Rhinolophus ferrumequinum: one gene and its partner. The protein of the gene in region 2 purifies or fractionates together with the protein of the main gene of each other region. This does not show direct contact. Links are inferred from orthologs where the notes say so. Each region holds a gene or a part of one and is shown on either strand. Other genes may lie near its edges. The genes, in order: CEP170 and CCDC68.

What was found.
Region 1: the proteins of CCDC68 (region 2) and CEP170 purify together in Homo sapiens (co-immunoprecipitation; 3 studies listed by BioGRID and IntAct, counting the BioPlex papers as one, with this or other methods). This does not show direct contact. The link is inferred for Rhinolophus ferrumequinum from reciprocal best matches to the Homo sapiens genes CCDC68 and CEP170.

Annotation. Positions count from the first base shown.
Region 1 is NC_046310.1:17,587,808-17,598,951, reverse strand, and holds the start of CEP170 (centrosomal protein of 170 kDa), read right to left. Parts: upstream 4,900-11,144; 5' UTR 4,661-4,899; intron 1-4,660. Other genes in the region: SDCCAG8 (serologically defined colon cancer antigen 8), read left to right, coding at 5,784-5,850.
Region 2 is NC_046302.1:44,494,676-44,505,609, forward strand, and holds the start of CCDC68 (coiled-coil domain-containing protein 68), read right to left. Parts: upstream 4,834-10,934; 5' UTR 4,740-4,833; intron 2,026-4,739; exon of another isoform or gene 2,022-2,025; 5' UTR 2,014-2,021; coding exon 1,897-2,013; intron 769-1,896; coding exon 682-768; intron 1-681. UniProt on the Homo sapiens protein: Centriolar protein required for centriole subdistal appendage assembly and microtubule anchoring in interphase cells. Together with CCDC120, cooperate with subdistal appendage components ODF2, NIN and CEP170 for hierarchical subdistal appendage assembly.

The DNA of each region.
Region 1 (11,144 bases), on a different chromosome or scaffold from region 2:
GATTTTATTGTTTATCTAAGAACACTAAAACAAAACAAAATGACAACCAAAAAATCCAAGATAAACAGCAAAAGAAACTTACCACCTAATACTGTCATTTCATAAAGATCATTTTAACTTTAGAAAAGTAGAAATACAGAATCTCAAAAAATAATCCCCTGAATTGCATAAATATAACTTGAAAAACCACATAACATTTTCTCTTATTTTTTGCTTAGAACTGACAAGGATATTACTGTTATTCAAAGAGTTAACACAATTTTATATTGTAAACACATGCGTATGGCTTGAATGAATTAAGGAAGGGGATAATTTTACTACGCTGTATTCAGACCATGACTGCAGAATTAAATATGGAAACCAAATCAGAAAAAAAAAAATAGCATTGACAAAATTGATTGAATTTAGTTGACAGAGATGAGAAAGGTAAAGGAAACAATGTCATATGAAGTTATAGGGGTTATAATATTTAATTTAGAAAAGAGAAAACCTAGCAGAGACCCACTATATTAAGAAGAACCTTACTGTATTATATTAAGAACCTTACTGTATCTCACTCATAAAGACAGAACTGCAACCAATCGGAAGAAGTTATAATACATAGCTCCGCAGGTACTACCATGTTTCCCCGAAAATAAGACCCAGCTGGACAATCAGCTCTAATGCAAGACCCAGTCTTATTTTACTACAATATGAGACTGGGTATAATATATAATATAATATAATACATAATATAACATAATACTGGGTCTTATTTTACAATAACATAAGACTGGGTCTTATATAAGTAAGACCTTTCTATACTTTTCAAAAGCTAAATAAGCCATCCTATGCCAGTTTGTTCATGAAGTCTTGTCTTGGAGAAGCTGGATTCAGTAAGTTCTCCAGAGATATTAGAAGTACGTGGCACATTGTATGACATGACTTCTACTAAAGTCTCCTGTAATTCTAAAATTTTGTGAATCAGAAGGGAATAAATGTTGCCTTTTAAACTTACTAAAAAACATGAGTGGAAAGAATTTTAGCTTTAGTTGAAAAGACGAAGGTTCAGTTATAGGTTCTACCTCTTACTAATGTGTGACACAGAGGCAAAATTATTCACTAACTCTGGGTCTCAAATATTCTCAATTTTAAATGTGTAAAATAATACCTTACTTACAAGACTGCTACATGAATTATACACACACACACACACACACACAAAGACATAGTCTGGCACATAGTAGGTGCTTAATACATGGCAGGTATTACCCATTTGTTCAACAAATATCATGTCCCAAAAGGTAATATTTTCTATATTATTTATTAATTACTAATATATTAAATAATGACATTCTCTGCTGTCTAATTTTTTTGTTTTTAAACCTAAGCAACGTATGCTTGGGATTCTTTTCCACTTCTATGCTTTGTACAATCCCTACTTGTATATAATTTCTGTAAGGTTTTCTTTAACCTTTTTGTTGGTATCCTTTCTACCTTTGTTTGACATAAAGGTAAGCTTTACCTTCAGTACATGTTAGCTATGTTATACATTTTGGATACATACGTGTCTACACATATCCACACACTGTTGCACAATTATTTCAACTAACTGGACTATATATCCAGTTTAATCAACCCTACTACCAGACATGGATGTTTTCTTCTTTTGTATCACTCATACTGGCTAACTCATTGCTGAGCACTTCCCTCAAGAAATGTATGAGTAAATAAATTAAAACTCATTCCACCAAGGGTAACTGAGTATTAGAAATCTTGGTTATTAACCAAAGTTTATGAAATAAAGATGGTTTCTCCCCGTAATAGGAAACCCATTTCTTACTGAAACCCACCAAGATTTAATGCTCCAGCCAGTATTATTTATCCACCAAGGATTTTTCAGATAGTATGTAACTGCTTTTGTTATACTTCCTGTGTAATTTGCAACTGTACGGATATTTTAGTTGGCAACTTAGTATCATGCTATCTGTTAGATATTTATTAGGATAGCTTAACACTGCTAGTGTTCACCACAGAAAAGAAAAAACATCATTACTCACTAATTAAAATAGAAAAAATTATTTTTCAGAAATACATTTTGTTGAATTAAAAACATGTTGACAACTTTATACATAGACAGTATTCAGTACCAGATGAGTAATATTTGATTACTATCAGATGTAACAATAAAACAAATTTTTTTTCCAGTGATAAAAGGAAACAAAAACCTGATACTTGGAACAAATAAATCACTATGCAGAGAATTTTTTTTATACCATCTTGATATTTGTATCAAAAGGCATAATGTATAATAATTTATATATTTTATAGTATAAATTTCATCATTCTAATGCTAAGATAAAAAAACATGTAGATGGTTATTTCCATACAAAATCATTTTAGAACACCACAAAATTTACCAGTAAAATACATTTTAAGTTTGATTTAACATAATTGCACATACTGAATTTAATTACAGATTATTTTTAAGTTGAAATTCAGAGAAACATTAATAAATTGTTTTAAAAGTCTATTAAAATGCTATGTAGGATAAAAATGATAAGAACAAGAAAGGACTTTATGGCAAAATCAACTCAATAAAAAACATAAATTTAATTTTGATAAAAAGTTCCAAGTTATTTCTCAAAAGGTAAATTCTCGTTTAAGTTTAATATAATCCATTAATCAAAGAAAAATGGACTTCATAGTTTCTTGTTATGTGGCAATTTTTAACAGAGTTTATAGACCTGATCATACTATAAACTACTTCTGAATATCCGGAAATAATATTAAAATATGGTTTCTAATAAGTAGTAGGGAAAAATAATCCATTTCTCTTTTTATGAAAAGCCCATGTTATAGTATCTTTTCCTATAACAGTAAGTTAATTCATAAAACTAAAGTTTCACTTCAGTAGAATTACTATTTTTACTTTACAAAGAAAAGGATTAGATTAATACAACTGGGGTGTCAATGAACTTGATTGTTTGTCACAGACAAGCAAAGAGACTGTAGAGCAGCTTTCCGTAAATGTCCACAGGGTAGGGGGCTACTGGAAGGAGCACTCCGCAGCACACACCTTGGTTTTATTTGGCTTTGCCTTTCATTAGCAGTTTGGCTTGGACGGACAGTTACCTTTCCAAATTTTAGTTATCTTCCTCTGTCTCTGTCAAGTGCACTTAGTCTCTTCAGTTTTAAAAGACCCTAATTATGCAATATCTATAAAGTTAGGAAGAACAAAAAGCAACCCTCATATAACTCAAAAAAATAATAATAATGCAGAACATACAAAACGGTTTGTAACTTGCAATGTAATATTTCCAGAGCTGAATTCGTAAATCTTTGAAGCATGTCCAGCTAGGATTCTATCAGTAAAGACTTGGATACTGTATTCATAATGGAACTCTCTCCTCTCACATTATTCCTCCACCTGCTCCTCCCCTCCCTGCTTCATTCCTCCTTTTAAAACCAGCAAACGGTTGGAAACATTGGAAGCTTCAGGATCAAATCATTTTAAAAGATGCATCTTCAATCAAGTGTATCACCTGCTTCCCCACATTTCTCTCTAACGGGAGTGAATTTTCACAAAGAGAATACAAGCATGAATAAAACTAAGCAGAAATGGACCAGGTCTGTTTTTTGTTTGCTTCGATTGCTTAAATACACAAAACGGCAAGACGGAGCCTTAGCTATTCCCGTAGGAACGTGAATGCATTTACCCACCCAATGAAAAAACAATCCTGCTGCTTCACTTCCCTGCTACACAATAGCTTCGTCGTCAGGCCCTTCCTAGTCCAGGCTTCATCGTCATCTAGCAATTTTATATTGATCACTTTGGCAATGCTTGCACAGGCACTGTCCGTGTCTTCCAGGAGCTTTCATTCTTCAAATAAATAACAGTCTACTCAACACCGAAAAATAGAGATTCTACAAATTCCACGTCTTCCCGCCCAGTGTTAGGCAGCGCTCATAATTTTCCCCCTTGGGGAATAACACGAAGGGAACCGTACCCACACCCCACGTTTGAATCTCAGGACAATGAAACCGACAGGAAGCCACGCTCTGCTCCCGGGGGCTGACTCCCGAGCCAAAGCTCCCGCGGGGTCCGGTCGCCTGGCAGGGTGCGTGACACCACGTCTTCCACGCCCTCCGAGCGCGTCCGAAAGGCTCCTCGCCTGACCTCCCGCCAACCACCCCACAGCCCAGAACCAACCACAAAAAAGGATCGGCGCTGTTAGCTGCTCCCAGCCGGGGAAACAGCACTTCCCCAGCGGCAGCGCGGCCATTCCCTCCGCGCCCCTCGCGCTGCCACGGCGGATGGGGGAGGGCTGCACAAAGCCCCGAGAGAGCTGAAATGATTCCGTACGTTCCGGCGAAGGGGCGGAGGCGGCCACGGGCCGGGAAAGCCGCGGCCGCAGCACCGAAGGGCCGGCGGGTGGGGGTGGGGTGAGGGTGGGGTGGGGAGACGAGGGCTGGCCCGGCCGAGCCCCCGGCCGGTGCGTGGGGGTGGCGGCGCCGCGAGGAGCATCCGGGAAGCGCCCCCGGCCCCGCCCGGCCCCGCACCCTAGCCCCGCCGCAGATCGCGGCCCGAGCCCCCGCTGCAAACCCAAGGAAGAGGATGTGGAAAGTGGCCGCGACGGGATCGGCAGCGCCTAACCCAGCAGTTGAGCGCATCACTTACCCCTCACCGCGGAGAGAGGGACCGGACGGGGGAGGCGGGGCGCGTCGCGTCCCGTGAGTCTCTCGCACGCCGTCCTCCCCCCACACTGTCGTCGTCGTTGCCGCTGTCGTCGTCGTCGTCGTCGTCCCGGCCGCTGTGATCGAGCTCCCGGCCCCTCAGCTCCGCTGGGCACTAACGTTATTCCACACACGCCCCACACATAGCGGTAACGGCAAAGAGCGGCCGCCTAATGCGCAGGCGCTTGGAGAAAGGGCGAGCAGCCCGGCCCTACCCCCTTCCCGGCTCAGTCCCAACGATCGCTTACTGCGCAGGCGCCAAAAACAGACAATGAAAAGGGGCTGTGCAGAGGGTCTCGCCGCAGGGTTTTACAGCTGCCTACTGCGCAGGCGTGCCTCAAAGACCAGCTTGAACAATGAGGAGGACCCCAACTTTAGCAGGGACGGCTACCAACGAGGACTACCGTTCCCAGCGGGCAGTGCGCCAACCCCAAGTGGAGGTCGGGTGGCTGGGCATGCTAGGATTTGTAGTGTCAGCCGCCTTTCACAATCTAGGCTCTTTGGAATATTTAGAGCGTATTTCTCTTGAGAATTTGTCTGTTTTGGCAAATGTCGTGGCTGAAGAGTGTTGAGCTTGTTATTTGCGTCCTTGAAAATCTTCAAGAATCGACTGCATATTAGCAAATTGCTTAGAAAAGTCAAGGCCTTCTGCGAGCCCTTTCTGTCATTTTGGGTGGTCCAAACAGTAGGATGGGATGAAGGCAGGACTAAATCAGGAAAAGGGCGGAGCTTCCGAGCAGTCTCTTGGCAACCGGATCCGGCCACCAAACGGCCTGAGCTGGCTCTGGGAGCGCAGTGCCCTCTGGGAATTGTAGTGTAGTCAGAAGGTCTCAGAAACTTGGACACTGCAGGCTCGGAGTCTGAGAACCACAACTCCCGTCATCCACCAAGAGGGCTAGTAGGGGGGAAGAACCCCCGCGAGCCCGGTCCGGGGTTCCATGCTCCCCATTGACAGCAGCGGCAGGAAGCTGGCGGGTCCACCCGGGGCGCTAAGGCCTCCTGTTCTCGGAGGGGAGAACATTGGACTATTCCCCACGTAACTCCCATCTCTGATCCTGAGTCTGTACATGGCGAAGTCCCCGGAGAACTCTACCCTGGAGGAGATTCTGGGGCATTATCGACGGAGTCTCCGGGGTGAGTTGCTCCGAACCTCCGTGCCCCGTGGTACCAGGGCCTAGTGGGCGGGAGCTGACTAGGTGTGTTTCCTATCACCTTGGTTCGGCCTCAGCCAGGATGCAGAGGAAGAAGATGGATGTTGCTGTTGAAGGATGTTTTTGAGGAAGAATGAGATCGTTTGTGTTTTTACTGTTAACCATTAGTGTTTCCCTGGTTCCCTTACTACCTGAACCAACTCTCTGATCTTGATTTAGGCATCTTTCTCACCCAGCGCCAGCAGAACCTGTTGAACGGCTCTATGCCACTTTTGCACATTTCCCATACTTTGCTCTTTAATGAGTTCCTGCTACACACTATTTACACATTCACAGTACGGTGTAGTGGATTGAATGATTTATTGGACCAGGAAAAGAAAGCACTAATAATTATTTTAATCACAACAGCTCTATTTAGTGCTCTAGGCTATTTACATACATTATATCATTTAAAACTTAAAACAACCTTATAAATATCCCTATTTTACACATGGGGAAATAAATGGAGGTGCAAAGACGATAAATCAGGACAAAGCCCACACAGCTGCTTAGTGGCAGAGACAAATCTTAAAGTCAGTCAGGCCTGTCTTAAAAGCCTATATTTTTCTTTATGAATCCTGTCACAATTACTATTACTTACTAAAACCATATTTAGTTAATTCAGATTTTTTTTTTTAGTATGGCACCATATGAATGAGTATCTATAGAACTGAAGATTGTATTCTGTCACCTTGGACATATATAACATTTAAAAACCTTAGTTCTGTTCCCCCCCCCTCACTATTTCCCCTTCTTTTTAGCTCCTGTAAACCTCTGTTTTACTTTCTGTCTCTATCAATTTGCCTATTCTAGGTACCCCATCTAAGTGAAATCATACAATATTTTTTCTTTGATATCTGGCTTATTTTACTTAGCATATGCCTTCAAATTTCATTCATATAAAAGTGTCTTTGTGTGTAATGAGATGGCTGGTGTCTGAGAGCCCCTAGGCAGCTTCAGGATTGGGGCCGGTCGCTAGAAAGACCCAGCCACAATTACAGGGTTGGAACTTTCAGCCCCATTCCCTAGTCTCCATAGAGGGGAGAATGTGGAGATTGCGTTAGTCACTAATCTAATCGTATTTATGTAATGAAACCTCCATAATACCCTCCAAACAACAGGGTTCAGAGAGCTTCCCAGTTGGTGAACCCATCCATGCGCAGGGATGGCGATGCACCCAGAGAGGGCTTGGAAGCTCTGCACCCCATCCCCATGTCTCACCTATGCATCTCTTCCATGTGGCTGTTCTTGATTTGTACCCCTTTATAATGAACCAGTAATAGTAAATAAAGTGCTTTCCTGAGTTCTGTGAGTCATTTTAACAAACAGTAGAGCCAAGGAGGGGGTTGTAGGAACCCTTTGAATTTATAGCCAATCAGTCAGAAGTACTAGTGATAACCTGGGACTCGTGACTGGCATCCGAAGTGGAGGTAGTCTTGCGGGCCTGAACCCTTCAGTTGTGGAAGCCCTCTTTGGGTGCATTGCCATGCCAGCACATGGATGCAGTCACCAACTGGGAAGCTCCAGTTCTGTTATTTTAAAGTGGAAGTTACGGTGTCGTCTACAGGGTTGTTGTGAGAAGCAAATGAAATAATCCATATAAAGCAATAATTTTGAGACTTTCTTTTTTTTTTCTTTTTACTGTCACTCATCAGTAAAAATACATTTTATATGGGACAAATACGTAAACTAAAAGAAAAGTTTCATTAAAAAATACTAAATGTAATGCACTCTATTTTCTCTTCTGTTGCATTTTCTTAACCCTCTAGGTCATGACCAACAGTTTTAAAAAATTATGTAAAGCATTTAGAACACTGATTCACTTATTAATTGAGTGCCTACTGTGTGTTAGGCATACTAGGTCCTGGAGATACATAAGGAACTAGACAAAGTCCCTGTCCCCTTGGAGCCTCTGGATTCGTGGAGGAGAAAGACAATAAACAAAATAATTACAGATTACTAGGAAAGACAATAAGGGTAAAGATCAGTGGTTGGCATATAAGAAGCACTAATTAAATGTTAGCTGCTATTTATAATTGGTACCTGCAACAAAGGGAAGGTTTTTCAAGAAGATTAGAAAGTTTATTTTCAAGTGACTCTAGATTTTGTAAGAGTTATTATTTATTGTTCCCACCTGTCAGCAGTGTTACAAACTGTCAACACTGTGAGTATTCAAACTGCAAGAGTAAAATAATTGGTCTTAATGAATATCTTCATCATCCTAGTGATGTTTCAAGAACTTTTAGATACAGAAATAACCACTTCTAACTTTCATTTGAAAGCAAGAAAAATACTGTGCACAATGATAATGTGAGTGATTCTGTTTAATTTTTGAGGTTGGCAAAAAATTTTTGTTTTCCATTATAAGTATCTCCTAATGTTCTTCCTTCTTTGACCTTATTTTGAACTTTTATGTAAGTATTAGAGGCCATTTAATATTAGGCATTTTGATGCAATGGTTAATTTAAACTAATGTTAGAGTACTACTGTGTTTAATACCCATGATAATGCTTTCAGTAATTACAAAGTGAAGAGTTTTTATTCAAAGCTAATACATTTTAAAATAAGTTTTAAATTTAGTGTGCTAACAATGTGATAGTGAAAACATTTATAATCAAGAGCAGACAAAGCAGAGAAAAAAGTTTACTTTAAAAAAAAATGTTTAGTGACCATTTTAACAATGAATCAAGAAATGGAACCTGATTTTTCATGGGTTTCCAGGACTTATTTTATTATTTATTTAGTAGCATTGTTTATTTTTACATTTATTTAGTTTATATAACAGCTCATGGACGGAAACAAAACAAAGCGAACTTTGAAGGGAAGCACAGTCAGAAGTTCTTCACTCCATACATATAAATTACCCCCTTTTAAGTAGGATAATTCCTTTTAAAGTCAACATTTGTGTTTCAGAACAAAGTATGGTGGCATTATTTTATATGTAGAACTTCATTTTGAGTGTTTGTGCCTAATAACTTGAAATTGTGTTCTATACAATCAGACAAAATGCAATTTAAAGTTTCTTTGCTTTGTTTTGTTGGTTTGTTTGGTTTTGTCTATCTGCCATTACTTCCCCAAAATGTCTTGCCTAGTTCTTGTTTAGAGAAAAGGCTGATAAGCATTTGTAGTCTTTCCTCACAGGTTACTCCTCTGGTTTTTAAATACCTATACCTGTAATCATTATTTGTATACCTTCATTTATATTCAGACAGCAAGTAACCACATAAAAATGCAAAATGCTTTCACAAGTTTCCATTTTTTATAGCTTTGCCTCATTTCTTCACTTTAAATATAATTTTCGGTATTACAGTATATTAAGAATTTGAAATTCTGATGTGAAAGCGGAGTCAAAGTTCACTTTCTTGCTTTTAAAACCTGAGTGTACGTCTTGCCTCTCCTTGACTCTGATGAGCCCAGAGCAGCCATGGAAATAGAGAGCCCATTTCACACTCCACCCTCACGTCTTATCCTTTCCCTTACACTTTTCAGATATATTCATTGTTTGCCCCCTGTAAGGATATCTCCTGCTTTTGGTTGTCTATGCCCCCGCTGCAAGAAATTGGGCAGGTTTAATGACATTCCTTCAAAGTTAGAGTTCTGACATAAAAATTAAAAGACCTCATTACCCCAAAATCTGTAATATTATCCCTCCACGGTAGATGATATGAAAGTTTCCAGTGGGGTAATAAGTGAGCATATTCCAAGTATCCTGGGAATCACAGAGCTTAACATAGAACTGGAAGTGACTTGGAAGGGCTCCTGGCAGTATGGTTAGGTGTTCATTCATTCCACAGGCAACTGTAATTCAAGACCTGCAGAATGGCTGAGAACTATATTGATAACTGGAGAGAAGTGCAAATGCCCCTCCTCTAATTTACATTCAACACATCCTTGTACAAGGCCGTGAGGTATAAAATAAAGCAGTTTGTAGCCAAGAAAGGGTTAGAAAAACCAGAATAATGGGCAATCCAGGCTGTTCAAGTTCTGTACACTGGAATGTAAGGATATGGTATTAGAAGGAGAGAACTTGCTAGAAATGCAATGTCCCAGCCTTAATAACAGAATCATGTCTAGTCTGTTGCTACAGTGTTAGCTATGAACACAGTTTTATCAAGACCTGAATACATGACTCACCTATTCACCTAGCTACCTTTGGTTGGGTGGGCATAAAGAAATATGAAACAAACTTGTACAGTGCTAGGAATACATCATTTATTTTCCATATACATTTTCTATCCTGGTTCACCCTTTCCTCTTCAGCATTTCAGTGTTTCAGGCTCTAGACTCAATTTATGGACAAATATGATGGAGAAGAGAATGTGGAACTAGGAGCCACGTCGCTGAACTCTTACAGTTGCTTTGCTGATAACCATCTGTCACCTCAGGCAAATAAATAAACTGCTCGTGGATTCTTGGTCTTCATCTGTAAAATAAAGTTTGGACTAGATTTGGGAATTATTGCCTTTAGGAGCCAAATAGATGACAGTATGTATGAATGCGTCAGTGGAAGGCACTAGGGAATGGTGAGGCGTGTGGCCAAACTGGGCAGTTGATGCTTTTTCTAAAAACAATCCAGTTTCTTGTGCCCTCCCTCTTTTCTTTCTTCCCTGTTTTTCTTCTCCCTTCTTCCCACAATGTGCTGGCCAAGCAAGACACACGTGAGAGCCTGGTTGTCACCCAGGTATCACTCTCAGACCCCTGGATCTCTAATGTCTCTTCCATCAACACTGGGTTGGGCCATGTGAATGATAAAGGTTATGTTTTTATTTAATAAAAATAAGAGGAAGGAATGGAACTAGTTCACAGAAAGCAAAAGGTTGAAAAGGGAATAAAGTATGTAATTTGGGGGTGATCCTTTTCTTTGTAAATTGATCTAATTTGAGAAAACCGAAGATAATGTTGATGTTCTATGTTTTACTTGTATGTGATTGACACATCTCTGCAGAGCCTACAAAGAGTGCTTTTCCTTCCAGGGAAGGGCTCACATCTGTAGAAGGCCTGCATTAATCTTACTAGCCAATAATTTGGTCACCGAATTAGCCAGCAGTGATATCATGTGGACCTTTGACACACTTACAAAACGTGTGTAACTTAAGCAAAAGTTCTTCTTTTTCTCAGTTTTACTCATCAAATTTGTGTTTCTTCTTCTTTTCTCTCCCCCTCTCTCCTCCTGCAATTCCTCCTCCTCTTCCTTTTCTAATTTTTTTGCTTAAATGTTTCCTGAATATTTTTTATATT
Region 2 (10,934 bases):
ATTAACCTTTTTTCCAGTTTCAGGACACTTAAAATAATTGGAGCTAGTTGTGTTAGATTGGGGGCCTGAGGATGATTAAAGGAGACTATGTTTATGCATCATACCTACAGCTGGTGTTCTTTGGCCATATTCAAGACTAGATAACACTGACATTGACAAATGCACTTGGATTAGGTAAAGTTTAATGTGACATAATCCAGACAAGGTTAAGTGCAGAGTGCTTAATTTTAAGAAAATCAGGCTGGTTGCAGAGGAAGGGGTGCCTTTAACCTTATCAGCTGTCTGCTCATTTGGCCTAATGGCTTCAACTGTGTTTCCGCTGGTGTGGTCCAGGTGAGCCAAAAAGCTTGTATCTTTGTCTATAATTGGGAAATGTTGCTGCCATGTATCTTGGCTGGGCCGACATCTTCCCATATACATTAGAAAAGTAAGCTCAGTTTAAAATATTCAAGTAAGGTCTGGTCATTCCAATCGGATCCTACTAATGACATCTGTGGTTAAATATTTCATACATGTGCCCATTAACATCTTTAGATAATGACAAAATATTTAATACCCATCGTTCAAAGCTTCCAAGAATAATTTAATAATTATCAAAAAAAGTTACTTAAATACAGTCTGTATGGCTTTATGTTTATTTACTGACGAAATAGAAATGGTACATTTTGATAAATTCATTACCTTTGCATCTAGTCTGTGCTTTATACTGTTATGTCCTGTTTCATCTTTAAACATTTGATTTCGGATCTTTTCCAGAGTAGTACGAATCTAGAAGAAAAAAAATATGTTTTTTTTTTTAAAGGCATTTAATGCCAAATACTTTTTTTTCTCTATACCAGCAGTAGTGCACTGAATTTATCTAGAAAATAGTACATATATATTGATCTCAGACTTAAATAATTACCATCAACCTAACTTGCATTTAGGCTAATGTTGTCTGGATTGTAGAAAATGAGCATTTGGTCTTTATAACTCTTTCTCAGTCAAACCTAAAATATAACCTAAATGAATATTATACTACAAAATAATTACTATTTAGTAATTAGTATCTAATTCTATTTAGTTCTATTTTTTTCTATATAGTAATTTAGCACTAATTTACTATTTAGTAATTACTATAATACAATTACTGTTTAGTAATCACTACAAAATAATCACTATCTAGTAATTACTACAAAATAATTACTACCTAGTAATTACTAGAGAATACTTTCTATTTAGTAATTACTATAGAATAATTACTAAGTGGAAATCATACAAATTTATACATAAAATATAAGTCCCACACCTTTGTGACCTATGGAATTACGAGACACTCTAAGATGAATCCATAGATCTGAATGTTACAATTTACCCATGTCCAAATTTTTCCATCTGTTCTGAGAAACAGTTCATAAGAATATATGTTTCTCTCAGCCATTATCATTGGGTTCTCATAGGATTTCAGGTTTTTAATGAAGGACTATGCTTACACGTAGTCATTGGCAATAGCGACCCTGAACTGTAAGAAGGAACAAGCGAAGGAGAGACAGACACTCAGCAGGAAATGCAAACATCTACTAGGGAACACAGCACCAACTCATGAAACAACTGAGAAATGATATAAAACAGTAGGAAGTGCAGTGGTGAATAGTGTGGGACAAATTAAGTCCTGACAGGTGTTTCAAACTCTCCTTGCCCATTATTCAATTTTACTGCAAGGGTCGGAACAGGGGTTCATATCCTCAAGAGAAAATGCTCAACATGTGTTTAAATGTCAGCTATCAAGATTATTCTTTGCCAAACAAGGTCTGCTCTTCCTCTCAGGTTCTATGGAGGGAGAAACAAAGTCTACCAATCTATATTAGATTTTACTTTACAAAAATCATACTAACGTGATGTGTGGCTCCCACATACCGTTTTCACATATTCGGTTTCTTCAATAATGTGAGCTGATGTGGAGTCATACAAGGCAGAATTATCTTCTGTCTTACCCCTTGGGGGAACTTCTGTGGTCACGGTTATTGTTGCCATTGTGAACTCTGTCTTTAGGAAAACACAAATCCGTTAGACAACACTAACTTCCTTGATGATATGATTATAGGGTTTGTAAACTGGAAGAAGCTCTGTACTAGCACTCTAATCCAATACTGTACAGTAGAAAATATTATAAATGATTGACATCTCTCTCTCTCTCTCTCTCTCTCTCTCTATATATATATATATATATATATATATATATATATCCATAAATCCAGGAATTAATTTAATGTAAAAATAACGCCAGCTAAAACAATTATTGATTAGAAACTTAAAAATTATCTGAGAAGGAAATATGGAAAATTTTTCTTTTTTTTTCCCCCTCCCAGAAAATTTTTCTTTTCATCCCACATTATATTAGACTGTAAAACCTCAAGAGTAAGGACTGTCACTTTCGCCTTTATATTCCAGCACATTGTAAGTGTTTAGTAAATTTCTGTGGAACTAAAATAATTATAATAAAATCATTTCTATATTACTTACATACATATATATATACATGCATGTAGATCACTTTATAGTTAAGACAGACCTTTAATATATTGCATTTTATTTAACTCTCAATAGCCTATGAAGACCATTTACTGAAAACTTATTTGTAAAAGTAAGAGATTGGGAAAGTCCAAATGCCTCCAAAAAGTAGACTGGCTGAATAAACCACCTACTGCTATGGACTCTTCTTAGTAATGTATTGTTCAATGAAAAAGCACAGTGCAGAAAGGGACATATTGTATCATAATTTCTATAAGAAGGGAAGAATGGATGGAAGGGGACAATCTGTGATTTATAGTTTTGACATTGAACAATGTAATTATTTTGCCTAATTATAAAATAAAACTAAATTAAAATGAAAAAAATAAAATCCTCCAAAATAAGAAATAAATATCTGTATATCAAGTTGGTAGGATGTCCACATGAATTATTTGAAGTGAGTTTAAAACACACATCAGGAACTATTTATCCCAGTGTACTATGTCCTAAGGACAAAAAGAATAGCAAAATTCTTTAACTACACCTACTAATAGTATTGTTAATGGAAACATCAGTATTGCCACTTTGAAATTATATGTGTGTTAATACACACGTGTCTGCGCTCACCCAATGAATGCATGCATAAAGCCGAGAAGTCATTCTCTTAATGTCATTAAGAACAAGATATTTAGCATAAGAGGAAAATATATACAAATTAGAACCAAAAATGTTGCATAAAAACCTTATAATCTGAACTAAAATTATGAGTGTAACACAATGATTTGTTTTCCTTTAAAATGTACATTCTAGATCTATCCACTATAAAATAGCAATTAATATTCTAGTGTCTAGACTGTGGTCTCAGTATACCATTTTCTACTAAAAAGAAACCAGGCTTCTTGAGTGATTTAGATCTGGGGCAGGAAATGTATAAAGCAAGTCTGAGATGTGTTATCCTATCAGAAAGCAAAAAAGTAATCAAATACTACTTGAATAACACATAAAAACCAACCTGAAGAGAAATAACTGTGAGGGGTTGAAAACATATCGAAATTTATGATGATAGGAGAAAAACCACCACCACCACCACCACCCCACCACCACCACCAATCCTCATGGTCCAACTCAATGGAGGCAGGCCACCATTATACTAAACATTAGCCCTAAAAAGGGGTGAGGGGAACACCAACAAGCATTTGTCTTGCCTTTCCTGTACGAACTGTAGTTCATGGTGACCAAATAATTGATGAGGGAATTTTTTCAAAAGAATTCTTGCTAATAAATCCAAAGGAATTGATACAATTAGAAAACCTACATTTTTCAACCCCTTATGAAGTAATGGAACTAAGCAACAGTTTATCAATTGGTGCGAAAAACATTAGGTGAGAGCTTAATGAAGTATGCATTTACCTGAAGAGCCCTACTAATCGGTCTTGACACAAGTTAAAAAGAGACAACCAGATATTTTGTCCTCTGGATATGGTACAATCACAAGTAGAAAGCATCACCTATGAAGTACGATTTTTTTTTTTCAAAGTAGGCTTGAATCTAATCAAGCCTCTATCTGAAAAAGAGGATGATGTTTAATGACTCTACAGGGTAAAGGTTGCAATCAGCCAAATCCAGATTTATGTGAAATTTTATGGGACAAATAACTAGCTCCTTCCACAAATCAATTATATGAAGAAAGATAGGAAGAAGAGAAGAAAAACTGCCATAAATTAAGAGTCTTAAGAGACACACGACCTAATGCAATATATGAATCTTCTTTGGCTTCTGATTCAAATAAACCAGCTATACAAAGACATTTTTGAGACAACTAGGGAAACATTAACACTGCCTGGGTAATACATGAGGTGAAAGAATAACTGTCATTTTGCTAGGTATGATAGCGAAATTATGACATTCTTTAAATAAAGATCTTGTCTGTTAGTCATATATAGTGAATTATTTGCAGGTGAAATAACATTGCATTTGGAATTGCTTTAAAATACTCTAACAAAGAGGAGCAATGGGGGGGGGTAAAAATGAAAGAAGTTTGGGCAAAATTCAGGGAATTGTTAAAACTGGGCGAGGGCACATGGGGTTCATTATACTTCTCTACTTATTTTGTTTCAGTGTGAAATTTCCATAAGAAGTAGTAAAGTTCTAATAATACATAAATAAAATAAAAAGCCTTGTGAGGGAGGATTATTAATCTCATTTTACTGATAAGGAAGCGAAGACTCCCATAGGTGATGTTTATTTACCCAAGAGCACAGTAAAACTAACAGAGCTGAGACTGAAACCTGTGACTTTTGGACGCCAAGTTCAAGGGTGTTTCCATCACATTAAGGCTGGCTTCTCTAGTGAGAAAAAACAACAGAAATATTTAACATTTAGCAATGATCCATGGTGTTAAAACACACAAAGAATTTTCATATTTACTTCATATTTACTGGCATCACTTTAAAACTAGATAGCTTCTGGGGATAACTAACTCAGAGTTTTGCATTTATCCTTTAATCTTCGATGAAGTTGACAGAGTATGCCAAGAATTTTCCATTTTATTATAAATCCTCTTAGACAGCCACTACGGCTTCTATTGGTTTCGGCTGAAGTTGATTTGGCAGCCACAGCTCTGCAAGTCTGTTTCTACAGAATGCAGAGTGGAAGTACTTCTGTTACTGGGTCTTCGGAAGTCTCTTCTGGATTAAGCTCTTGGTCCAAAACAACATTTAAATGCTCAGAGTAAAACAAACACCCATAGAGACAATCAGCAATGTGTTTGGAAACCAGAGGGGGGTGGTCAGGCTAGAGTGGTGGTCAGCAAACCATGGCCCAGGAGCCCAAGCTCCTGGAGTCAAAAAATATTTACTATCTAGTCCCTTACAGAAAAAGTTTGCTCTCCTGCGTTAGGGTGTGATGGGGGTTGGAGCAAAACCAGTGGGAAAGCAAGAAATCATTTTGGTCTGAGTTGTGTTTTGTTCTCCAGTTGAGTCCCCCTTAAGCTATGGTCCCATTTGATTGATTTACTTTCTTTTTTCTTTTTAGCATGTTACACATTGTGTAACTTAACAAACAATAAGAGGCACTGTCTCACCACAGGAAATAATTACTCTTGAAAATGGATCCCACTGCATTCTCACAGTCTTTCACAATTTGAAAATCTCATTGGGACTCTGTTGTACACCTGAAAATACAGGGGGTGCCAAAAAAAAAATGTATACACATGACTTGTATTCGTCTTTTGTTATCAACATATATTGAGTATTACAAATTTAATACAGTTTTTTCCTTTCTTAAAATGTGTATATATTTTTTTGGCACCCTCTGTATATTCTCTTACGTGTCTTTTATTCTTAATATCAAGAAATGCTGCTCCTTAATCACTGCTATTTCTCAAAACAGTCTACCCCCTCCACTCAGCAATGGGCCACCTTAAAGAAGTTCCATAAAATCTTAGCCTCGACTTACAAATCTGTAAAATAGGGGTGGTGACACCTAGAGTTGTAAAAAATGAGGGGTTTGGTTTTTTTTTTTTTAATCCTTGGTGGCAGAAGGCATTCAGTGGACAGTAACTATTAATATTGTTGCTGTTATTATTTTATATTATTAATAACCACAGAAGATAAGCAGCCCATAGCAGAGTTCATGCCTATCTGGTTGTAAAGTATATTCATACGAAATCAAATTCCCTTTCTCTCCTTGGTTCAGAAAACTTTTACAACCACAGTCCTTGATTTGTATAAAGAAACCCAAGGGGAACTTCAGCTAGCAAAGTCCAAATCGCCATATGGCATTACTATCCTGGGGAAAATCCATCTTAGCATTTTATTTCTGCCAGAAGTAGATTAGGCAGATAAATTTTTCAAAACAAAACACAATCAGTTAATTAAAGTGAGAAAAGAATTTTATTTGTTTTATACTAGAGTGGTTTGAAGACAGCTTACAAGTGGCATCACTCCAAGAGGTGTTATTTCCTAGTTCCGGGCTTTTCAAACAGGGCTCCCAGGGGAACGTGAGGTGCTGAGCAGATAGGTCTTTGCCATCTCAGCTTGAACCAAAGCAGCTCTGTTTTATTCAATCACACACTGAATTTTTCCATGAGACTGATAGTGAAGAAAGAATAGTCTACATATCAAAGGTTTGGAGCTAGACAACCTAGATTCATGGCTTGACTCTGCCACTTAGTAGCTGTGTGATCTTGGGCAAGTTCCTTAACCTCTCTGTGCCTCAGTTTCCTTCTCAGTGAAATTCAGATATTAATATAAATTATTAATTATTAATAAGATAAATAATAAACCACATGGAATTGTGAGTTAACATCTGTCAAGCACTTATAACCGTGCCTAGCACATGAAAAATGATTTGCATGTTTGTCAAATGAGTAAATAAAACATGAAACCATTCTCCATAATTACTGCTGACAAGCAGTCTGAGTGATAGAGATGAACCAGGTAATATTTTAAGCAGTCTACAGATTGATTTGGGCTATAAAAGAAAATCTGCTTTGGAGGATTTTAAGACTAGCAAATCCATGGTATGGGTTCTTTCTTGAGAATGCATCAATAATTCATCAATGTGCCCAAATGATTATGCTAACATCTAAGGACTAGTTTACAGTTTACAAAGCAATTCTTACACATTACTGTGAATTGTGATAAACCAGTACATCTCTGGGCACCCAGAATAATGTAACTAAACCGACTTCTCTGTTTAATGACAGAAGAATGGCTGAACCATTATACAATAAACACATATGAGGCGCTGTTACGGGTTTGTCCCCTCTCCCATTCATATGTTGAAGTCTTAACCCCAATACCTCAAAATGTGACCTTATTTAGAAATAGGATCCCTACAGATTAGTTAAAATGAGGCCATACCTGGGTAGGGTAGACCCCAATTCCATACGACTGCTGTCTTTATAAAAAGGGGAATTTTGGACACAGACATGCACATGGGGAGAAGGCTTTATAACGTGGAAGGCAGTAATCCAGGTGATCCCTCTACAAGCCAAGGAACGCCAAAGATTGCCAGGAAACCACCAGAAGCTAGAACGTGAGAAGCACGGAACAAATCATCCCTCAAAACCTTCAGAAGGAACCAACCATGCCAACATCTTGATCTTGGACTTCCAGCCTCCAGAACTGTGAGACAAGAAATGACTGTGTTTAAGCCACTCTGTGGTACTTTGTCGTAGCAGCTTTAGGATACTAATTATAGGCACTGTTTATATTCTAGAGGTTCTAACCAAGTTGTTTCCTTCCTTTACTTAACCCTGATTCATTCATTCATATATTAAATATTTATTGAAAACAGCTACCTTAGGAGTTGTGGCCACAGAAGTGAACCAGAGACCCTGCCTTCATGGGACTCGCAGTACAGAGAGGGAGAAAGACATAAACAAAACAATAAATATACAGGGAACCTAGTGAGAGGTGGTGACAAGTGCCATGAAGAAAAGCAGAGCAAGGTAACAGAAAAACAGGAGGTGATGCGTGGTGAGAGAAGGACAATCTGAAGAGGTGGCACTTGGGCAAAAGACTTGACTAACAGGAGCTGAAGCCCTGTGGCCATCTGGGCAAAGAGCATTCCATGCAAAGGGGAAAGCAACAGCAGAGGCTGAGATTTGCTTACAGGAGGAACGCAGTGTAGCTTACTTTTCTTCTTCTTTTAATGCAGGCAGCAGGGATTTTTTTTGTTTTTCAATAGCCTGGAACTTATGACCTCCAATTTGCGTAAGGAGCTGTTTCTTTAGCCACTTAAAGCAGGTCTCGCCCTGGCTGGTAAGGCTCCCTTAGGGTGAAAGGAAAGGCAGGATATAGGGAAGTCTGGGACGCTGTGAGATGCTACAAGGCGTATGCACCTGACTCCAGGTCAACCCACAGAAGGGGTCATAAAGTTGACTGCACAGTGCTATGCTCAACTCATTTCTGTGGGTGCTGACTGAACAGCACCATGGTGGACGCTTGGCATGGTTTGGCTGTCCAGCATTTGAATCTCCTTCCTAGATATGTAATGTGGAATCACCATCTGTATGAGTCTTTGCAGGAAAGTTCCCTTCCCTCTTCTTCCTCCCTCCTTGGGCTGGGGCACAGGTATGACACCTAGACTCAGCCAACTGAGTACTCCAACCTGGAAATGCCAGTAAGGGATTGATTGGCTATCAGGCTTGTGGAAGCAGGGGGTTAGTGAAAACCCCGTTATTGTTCTGGGAAGGGAAAGAGGCTGGCACATGGCAGTGCTTTATGTCCAGCAGCAGGAACAGCAGTGGAGATATCTAGTGACCAGTGGCAATGCCAGAAGGACTCTATCTTGTTCTGCCTACAGCCTCATCTTTGCTGAGGTACCAACACACTGGACTCTCCCATTTGCAAACGGAGTTTTCGCCTCAATTCTGAATGTTGCTCCATTTTCTTCCAGTAAATTCCTTTTCTACTTCAGTTAGCCAGTCAATTACTCTGGTTTGCAACCAAGAGCTCTGACTGGTTTGGGCACAGTTTCTGAGTTCTCGGTTTCTCAGTTTTAAGCTAACAACATTGCACAGTGTTGCATCCTTCTTGATCACTATTATATAGCGCTTAGAGAGTAGAAACTGAAAAAGTGAGTTACAATAAAAGTGCTGCAAGTAGGTTATGTGAGGGGAAAAAAGCTAACATATCTCCAAACCCTTGAAGAGACTGACTGTCTCCTGAATCTTAAAGAGCCCACCCGTTCTGCCGCTGCATTATACAGCACAATGGTGACATCCAGTGTCGGCCGGCTAAATCTCAGGTGACAGTGCAGTGTACCTGCAAGTGATGCACAGTATCACCAAAAGACATGCATGTTAACCCTGAACCCACATAATAATAACACTGCTTTCAAGTAACGATATAAGATTTTTTTAAGTTGAAGTAATCGCATCATTTGTAAATGCTACTCATTTGTATACACACATATATTTATATCATAGCCAGTGCTATTGAATGCTCTTAGACATGACATAAAAGCAATTCAGTTTTGGGGAAAAAAAGGATTGAAATATTGGTACTAACACAATATACAAATATAGACTGATGACAAAGCACTTTGTCATTTACCAAAAAGTCACTTCCATGTATTGTCAAAAGTCATCATTATAATACACTGTGCTTAGTTATTACTTATATATCTATATCTATTATCTAGATCCATAATTTATATCTATCTATAGCTGTGTATATAATGCAACCTAATCACAAACAAGTGATAAGAAGTTTTTCAAGGTCATAAATTGACCTCATCACCTGAATTCAGATAGATTGACTTCAAATCCAGGCGTCTTTGTAATGAAATAATCTATACACAGTTCATTGGTATAATTTGAAACTTTGAAAAAGCATAAGGTGTCACTCAGTGCCCAGTACAGCAACTAAACTACAAAGGGTGTAAATCATATGACTCCCTTTCCACTGGGGAAGCGTGGGGAGAAGGGCGCAGGATCTGGTCCATGTCCCCACATGCAGGCTGGGGTATGCTGCCTTTAATAAACCCCACAAACACCTGAGGTGTCAGTGTTATTATTCCCATTTTACAGATGAGGAAATGAGACTCGACATAATTAAGCAAAGACAGCTAGTAAAATGAAGTTAATGATGGTCGTGGATCACAACCCATGAGTCCGCGGCTATTTCCAACTTACCACTTTGCCTCCTGCGGCATTCTGAATGGATTTCTAAGTTCAGTATCTTGGGCACAAGCTAGTTTAGTACTCAGGGTTTTCCAAGTTGTTTTCCAAACAACTCCTGCTGTGAGCTCCCAGGTGTATCCGTCAGAAGCCTGAGCAGATCTTGTTGTCTGAATAGATTTATTCCAGGAACAGAGGTAGTATGACTTCATGGCTTAAAAATGGGGGCTTCGTACCTGGTTGGTGCAGTTCACGAGACTCTGTTCTCCTTCCCACTAGCTGGGTGGCCTTGGGAACATTTTTAACTCCCCAGGCTTCAGCTTCCTCAACTGAAAAATTCAGATGACAATATTAACTTCCTCACAGAGTTCATGGGGATTAAAAGTGCTCAATGGAGAATGTGACCCATAGTACACATTCAAAGAATATTAAATATTTCTATGTGGACATTTGCTTATAGGACATCATTTGAAAGTGTCCATGATAAGCTCAGTTGTCCCCTCACCATTCCTATCCCTCCCCGCCCATCAGTCAATCATTCCTTTTGCTTTGACCTCAGTCGACTCAATGACTTGTCAGTGAAGAAAATATGAAAAGAAGCAGTTGTCGATGACATATATCTCAGCCATTTGTAACATTTATAAGAAAGGAGACCTTTCGGAAAATTTCTTTTATGGTTTGATACAATATTTTAAGAGTAAAATACTCAGTCATTTACAAAATAGCTATAGCTTCCTAAACTCATCTTGGAATATTTTAGCTTCAACCTAATTTACTTTGTTTAAAAAATTATCCAGCAGGGGAGGGGGACAAA